Lonchura striata: one gene and its partner. The protein of the gene in region 2 interacts with the protein of the main gene of each other region in a pairwise test. Links are inferred from orthologs where the notes say so. Each region holds a gene or a part of one and is shown on either strand. Other genes may lie near its edges.

Evidence for each region. The genes of interacting proteins can lie anywhere in the genome.
Region 1: the proteins of SH3YL1 (region 2) and SH3D19 interact in binary tests that used the Homo sapiens proteins (3 or more experiments, as listed by UniProt). The link is inferred for Lonchura striata from reciprocal best matches to the Homo sapiens genes SH3YL1 and SH3D19.

What each region holds. Positions count from the first base shown.
Region 1 is NC_134606.1:43,631,695-43,635,440, reverse strand, and holds the start of SH3D19 (SH3 domain-containing protein 19), read right to left. Parts: upstream 2,922-3,746; 5' UTR 2,683-2,921; coding exon 2,565-2,682; intron 1-2,564. UniProt on the Homo sapiens protein: May play a role in regulating A disintegrin and metalloproteases (ADAMs) in the signaling of EGFR-ligand shedding. May be involved in suppression of Ras-induced cellular transformation and Ras-mediated activation of ELK1.
Region 2 is NC_134605.1:94,425,919-94,429,664, reverse strand, and holds the start of SH3YL1 (SH3 domain-containing YSC84-like protein 1), read left to right. Parts: upstream 1-1,308; 5' UTR 1,309-1,352; coding exon of another isoform or gene 1,353-1,353; 5' UTR 1,354-1,595; coding exon 1,596-1,596; intron 1,597-3,746. Other genes in the region: ACP1 (low molecular weight phosphotyrosine protein phosphatase), read right to left, coding at 1,202-1,244.

The DNA of each region.
Region 1 (3,746 bases), on a different chromosome or scaffold from region 2:
ACAGTTCTCAGGCTGCAGTTTCACAGCAATCTAAGCCAAACTAACTTCTGACTGGCATAGGCTCTTACCTCCCTCTGGCTGCATGTTCCTACTCTTTCCCTTGTGCCAGCTTCAACATTCACCCAAAACCATTACAGTGAGCTGAATCAGAAGACTCCCAACCACTGAAGAGAACTAGAAAAATATCGCTCTGCTTGGACAACACACCAGAACAGGCTGGTGCAGGCTCTAGCAAGCAAAGGGGCTCCGAGTGAGCAGCCACCCAGTACATCAGCCCAGGCTACCACCTAACCACAACTCTAGTGACTTCACTCACCAACAGGTTGGACGAGCAGCAGAGCTGACACACAAGAGAGAGCAGAAGAGCACATCCCCAAAGGAGATCACACCTCTAGAGCAGCAGCTAGCTGTTAGCTTAATCTAGCTAGCTTCATCCTACAGCAATGCAGTACATGGTGCAGCACAACTGGAACTGGCTTCAAGGGAAAATACTACTTCCTCACTGCAGAGCCTCCTGAGCTCTGCTTCCCCAATAAACCACTGCTAAATAAGTCTGAGCATTCAGTAAGTCAGAAGCCCTTGTGAACTTTCACCTTTCAGCTCCCACTTTGCACACATGCCTTGCACTGGCAGGACAAAGGTGATCAATTGCCCTTACACCGACATGCACCGGCTGAACATAGCAAAAATTTGAACTGCTTGCATTCACAATTGGTTTAACAGACTGAAATACTTAAATTGACAGCCTGCTAAGGTGCCACTAATTTTTTTAAACCCTACAACAAAATATCTCACAGGCTTAGTTAAGACCTATTTATATTACCATTGCAACCACACATTACATGCAAAAAAGCCCCACTAATTTTCAACAGGTTTGTAAACAAAAGTATGTAAATAAAGGTCAAGTAAGGGAAGAGCAGCAAACTCATCTACTTTGGATGATATTCTTCATTGATGCCTTAAGAATACTCCGCTGGGAGTCTTAGTAGTGTTTTCCAGCGTAGAGATGTGCAAACAGATGGAAAGAAGGCGAGACTGCTCAAGCAGAATGCTGTTCATTCACACATACTTTACACCAGTAAGGTAAACAAACAGTGCTGGCCCCATTTCAATCGGTGGCTGTCAGGAAAAAATACTAGTAAAAATTGAAAAAACACCTTTCATTACTAGTTAATAGCACTGTGCCAAAGACAAATTCTGGGAACAAGCTTTGTCCAACAAGAAGGTGGCAAAGGTTACATACATATATGAACTGTAGAACCAATTCTATGTTTTCTGCTAACAAAAACATCTAGAAGAAACACCTTTGGAAAACAGGTATCATAACCAGTAGCACAAACATTTTGCTCTGGAGGAAACCATGCAGGAACCAACACTGATTTTCTGCACTTTACCCCATACAAGGTGAAACCCTGCAGACATGCCAAAGGACAGTGGTTTCAATAGGGTCCTGCTAATCCTGCACCTGTACAGGCATTGGCATAACTTGAGCCACTCACTAAAGGCCACAGGGCCTGCCTGTTCAGTTTTCCTCTAGCATCCCTCATGCTGCTGTGTTTTTATCTACTGCAAAAGGGACTCAATTTCTTGTTGCTCAAATGGATGCAAACTCACATGAATTGCAAAGGGTGCTATATTGTTACAGTTGTACTATAATTACTAAAAATCAGAATATTTGGAATTCAACTATGTAGCATGGCTGAGATTTTACCTGGAAACAGACATTATGAAATGATTCATTCTGGAAGGGATTTTACACTGACAGAAAAAGAAATGTTGCATTCACACCTCAGTGACTACAGGACAGTGGCACGCATGTTGACCCTCAATTAACAGTGATCTTCAAATTATATAATTTCAGCTGCTGCCAGGATCCACTTGAGTTCATAATTTCAAACAAAAGCTTGTTGTTGTCCATGTTTCTCTACAATGACAATCTGCTCACTCCCCAGCTCCATTCTTTCTCAGATGCACTGGTTCTCACCTCTTTGACGGGGCCTGCTGTCCATACCTACATAGAAATGGCTGAAAGTGAACAACTTTGCTATCTAGATGTTCCTCTACCTTGGCACATTTAATTTCCCGATGGAGCAACCTATTCACCTGGACATGTCTGTGCTAGTCCGCACGTGCCCATGCTAGCTTCAGGGTGGTGAAACGGTGGAACAGGTTGCTCAGAGAAGTTGTGATGCCCTATCCCTGGACGTTCTCAAGGACAGGTTGGATGGGACTCTGAGCAACCTGGTCTAGTTGAAGGAGTCCTTGCCCACGGCAGGGGAGTAGGAACCGGGTGGTCTTTAGGTCCCATCTAACTTAAACCACTGTATGACTGTGGTGAGCGCAGAGCGGGAGCAGGCTCTGGGGGCGGCCCGCGGGCACACGCCTGCGGCCCGGGCGCACCTGAGCTGAACCGCGCTGCCCTGGGGCGAGGCCGCCGGGGCGGCACACCTTGGGGCGGCACCTCCAATGCCGCCCAGCCCCCGACAGGAACCCAGACACGGGGAGCGGGCCAGGGCCAGCCCAAAGGACGCGACGCCGCGGCCCGCCGCGCCCTCGCCGCTCACCTGCTGCCGAGCTCAGCGCGACCCTCCGGTGCCTCCTGCCGAGCTCCCGCAGCTCCTCCTCGTCCTCCTCCAGCCTCCAGGCTTCGGCCATCGGCGGCGGCGGGGCAGCTGGCAGCATTCAAGAAGCGGGAGCTGCCATGACCGGCGCGCTCTCTCCGGCGCGGCCGCCCGGCCCTCGCGGCCGCCGGGCCCGCCCCGCACCTGCGCCCTCTCCGCCGCGCTTCTCCCGGAGACCGCTCCGCGCTGCTGCCGGCGGGGCCAGGCGGGAGCAGAAGCGGCCTTTCCTGCCCATCCGCGGCTCTCCGGCGTCAGCAGGAAACCCGGCGGCCGCCTGGCACCGCCACAAAAGGGGGCGGAGGAGGCGGCGGCGGGGGGAGGTACCTGGCTGCCGGCGCTGGGCAGCCGCGCTCCGCCGGGCGGCTCCGCCGGGCGCCGCGCGGGGATGGGCCGGGGAGCGGCGGGCCCGGGCGGGCTCCGCCGAAGGGCCGACAGGGTGCGAGGTCTGCCTCGCCTCGTGACCACAGCACGGAGATGCCAGACTCTTTTTCAGTGGTACCCAGCGACACAACAAGGAGCAATAGCCGTAAACTAAACCACAAGGAGTTCCACCTCCACGTGAGGAAGAACTTTACGTTGAGGGTGCCAGAGCACTGCCCAGGGAGGTCGTGGAGCCTCCCTCTCTGGAGACACAAAGCTCACCTGGACACGTTCCTGTGTTACCTGCTCCAGGTGACCCTGCCTTGGCAGGGGGCTTGAACTAGATGACCTCCTAACAATTCTGTGAGCCTGTGAGGTGGCAAGGGCAGTTGTGCATAGAAAGTCGGGAGCCCCGGGAGCTGTGGGAATTGTAGGTGCAGCATACTGTGGCCCCGATGTTGGCTGAGGGCTGGGGGCAGGCAGGTTTTTGACCGGCAGCAGTTGTGGTTCACGGCTAGGAGGATGTGTGTCTTGGCCCGAGTTCATTACCGTGGTTTGAACTACTTAAGAAGGACCTACTTGAAACCAGTGAGGTACACACTTAACACAGCTGTAGTGATATGAAAAATATGGCCACGTTTTAAGTTGGACGCCGGTGTGGTTTTACCTCTAATTTCTCCCCACCCCCAGGGCCCTCAGTCACCCATATCTAAGTAGAAATTATATTGCTTCTTTACTTCATATGGTAGCTGTAAAACCAAATCA
Region 2 (3,746 bases):
CAACAGCCCTCCTAGAGCAGAGCAGAGAGCCACATGGATAGTTATGCCCTGAAGAAAGCAGAAGTTTAGCAAAAGTATGTACAAAATGGGGCATGGCTCTGTAATCTGTATTGTCAGGTTAGCTATTTGCTGGTTGTTATTATTTTGTTTACCAGTAATCGACTGTCCTAAACTCCAGAAAAGCATTCAGGTGATTTCTGATCACATCAAACTTCTGTTTTCTGGGACTTTGCATGACAAGATTTACAACTTAACCATAGAAAGTATCAGTAAAAGGAAGTTTCCTGTTTCTTCATTTTGTTAGCATTTCAAAAAAGTCTTAATTCTTTTCACTCATTTCCATACCAGATCAAGAATTTCATTATTAGATCATAACAGATCAGCCTCCACCAAGTTCCTTTTTTTACTTGAAGTCCTACCCTTCTTTCCCTGTCTTTACAGCAGCTCTTACATTAACTTCAGTGGTTCGTGTTGTGGTTTTCTCTCCCCTTCCCACGTCAAGTGCTCCCAACATCAAGCCTGCGGGCAGGCTCCCCAATCCTACCCCGCTGTTCCAGAGGCCAAGTGCTGCACAGCCCGTATCAGAACGCTGCTCAAAGCCACCTCTCCGTGCTGCCCTCAAGCAGCAGCCTTAGGTCAGAGCTGGTTTATGACTACTTAGGTGTTGCACTTTCCCACACACAAGATTCGTGTTTGTCAACACTGCATTTCACCTTCTTCACTACTTCCTACTACTTTCACAGAATCAAAAAACCATTACGGTTGGAAGGGACCTCTGGACATTATCTAGTGCAATTCCCCTATCGAGGCAGGGTCACCTAGTGCAGGTTACACAGGAATGCGTCCAGATGGGATGGGAACGTCTCTAGAGAGGGAGATTTCACAACCATTCCGGGCAACCTGCTCCAGTGCTCTGCCCTCAATGCCAAGCCCTTCCTCGTCGTTCCTATCACAAAAAGGGCGCAGCTGTATTCCGCCTTCTCTCTCACTTCCCGGCTACTACTCGGGCCCTCCCCGACACGGCAAACCCGCGGAACCGTCCGAGGGCGGCACCGCGGCGGGTGCCGCACTTCCCCCGGCCCGGCCCTTGCCTCACCGCGCTCCCGCCCCACCCCGGCGGTGCCCCGGGCCGAGGAGCGGCGGGGCAGAGCGGAGCGGAGGCAGAGGGTGCGGCGGGAGCGGCCGTCCCTGTCGCGCTCACCCAGGCACACGAACAGCACCGACTTCGCCTCCCCCGCCGCCATCTTCCTCAGAGGACCTCGCAGCTGTCGCACCGCCCGCGCTTCGCTTTACGGCACCGGCGGTTATAGGCGGCCGAGGGATTTGCCTGTTTGGAGGGGGGAAAGGAGCGAAGTATGGAACGGGCCCGGGACAGCGGGAAGGGAGAAGGGACGGGACCGGGAAAAGGGACGGGACGGAGCCGCTGCCGGGACGGGGAGCGGGCGCTTCGCAATCGCCTCTGCCCCGCCCGCCTCACCTGCGGCAGGTGCGCGGCTCGGCGGGGCCGCCTCGGCGCCGCCCAGTGAGGCTGCGGCGGCAGCGGCGGCAGGAGGAGAGGGAGCGAGGGGGAGCGGGCGCGCCCCGGCCCGGGCAGGAGTGAGTATCCCCCGGGGCAGGAGCGGGGGTCCCGGGGCCAGGGGGGCTCCTCAGGGGCAGGAGCGGCGGGCACGGAGCCGCCCCGCGCCCCGCGGGCGGAGCGAACGCGCTCGTACAGCGCGGGCGGGACCGCAGCCTCTTCTCGCCCGGGGTCGCTGCGCGTGCTGTGTCCTCCACCTAAAAACCTTAGAAGCGTCGAATGCGGCTTTGGCCTCGCCAGGCTGCTGGTGAAATTGAACACAGGGGCGCTTCGCTTTCCAGGGCAGCTCGAGTGTCTGGTTTTTAGTTTGTTTTATTTAGTTGTATTTTATATCTATGTATAATATAGATAGGTGATATATACCTACAATGTATTGTAAAATATATATATATATATGTATGTATATATATCCACATACGTTTTTATATTTTATTTATATTTTTAATTATATAATTTTTAAAACTTTTGGAGGTATTTATTTCTATTCCTTTCTGCTGGGCTGTCCTGTATACTGTATCTCTGTACCTGGCTGGGTTTTGTAACAGCAGCAGACGCAGCCCCACCATGGCCGGGTGTGGTCAGGACTGGATTCCTCTGTTGGTTTTTAAAGACCTGCTTGGCTGGTCTTCTGGTCAAAATGCAGCACTTTGGAGGTTCAATAAAAAATGCCAGAATCTTAATTTTGTGCGAGATCTGTGACTTGCAAATGAAAGCTGAAGAGCTTGTATAATGTTTGCTGTGGAATGGAGCAAACTGCACATTTCTTTTTATGCAGCTTGAAATGCTATCCTGCATATGCAGCTTCTTTTGTAAATACAGTTGTACAACCACTTTTTAAAAATTATCTAGTTATTTGACTTGGCAGTGGAAGCAATTGGTAATCAGCAGCGTGGTTTTTGTCCCCAGTGCCTGCAGCATCCTGCTGTTGTCAGGCCAGCTCGCAGGTGTCGGGGTGTGAGGTGGGGAGCCAGGCAGGGGCAAGGGCTCTCCTTACTTGTCAGACGAGGCCTTGGTGAAGGAGGCTGAGATGAGTCAGTTGTGGCATTCTCACATGTGGCTCTGCCATACTACATGGCTGAGCAGTGCAGAGTGCCTTCAGTCCTGCTTTCTGCCACATGCAGTCCCTTGCGGTGTCGCCACTGGAAGCAGATTCCCCCCTCCGGCACACCCATTCCTGTGTTTGTGGGCTGGGGAGGGTGAGGCTCTCTATAGAAGCCGAGTGCTTTGAGAGGCTGTCCTGGAGTTCCTATAAAACCCTGTGTTTGTAGCTGTGTATGTCACATGTAGGCACATGCTCAGCTCTAATTTTGAGACAAAGTCTTTCATGTTTCCCTGTCTTTGGGAGGGGACTGGGGAGGATCCTTAAGTGTTATTCCACAATATAATTGAAGGGGGATTATCAAGCATTGGAACAGGCTGCCCTAGGAGGTTGGTAGAGTCACCATCCCTTAAAGTGTGCAAGGAACAACTGGACATGACACTTAGAGCTGTGGTCTAGCTGACAAAGTGGTGATTAGTCAAAGGTTGAACTTTATGAACTCAGAGGTGTTCTCAAACCTAAATGATTCTGTAATTTTCAGCCCTCAGCAGTGGAAGAAAGACAAATTTTTGCCTTCAGCTAATGAAAAACTTCATGCTTTGAAATGGACTGTGACATAATTCACTGTACATCATGTCATAGTTTCTCACCCTTCAGAATTATTTTTTATAGTGTAATAAGCTCTCCATATTTTGGAGGCTTTTGAAACAGTAATTGCATTATTGTAAAAGATCCTCTAATGCAGGGCTGTCATGGAGGATAACCTGTATGACTTAATGGAGAAGAAACACTCTTGTGAACAAGATAATCTAAGATCTTAGGAAGAACTAGGGTTTTTCTAATTCTTGATAAATAAATATGAAATACCTTCACTTTTTAAAGGTTTATTCCCTTTAGCTTGAAGAAATGTTTCTTGTTTGATTAATTGTAGTAATTAATTAGTTGTAGGAATTGTTGACCTCTAAGATTTGATTCATGCACATAGTGAATTGGAACATCTATGAAGTGTGGAAATGAGAGAATCAGAATGATGGTGACAGTTTTCTTGACAGAAGTGTTCAGTATTGATTGGGAAATAAGCAGAGTCTGTATTTTGCTTAGGTAGTTAATTTTTTTTTCATGGTATCATAG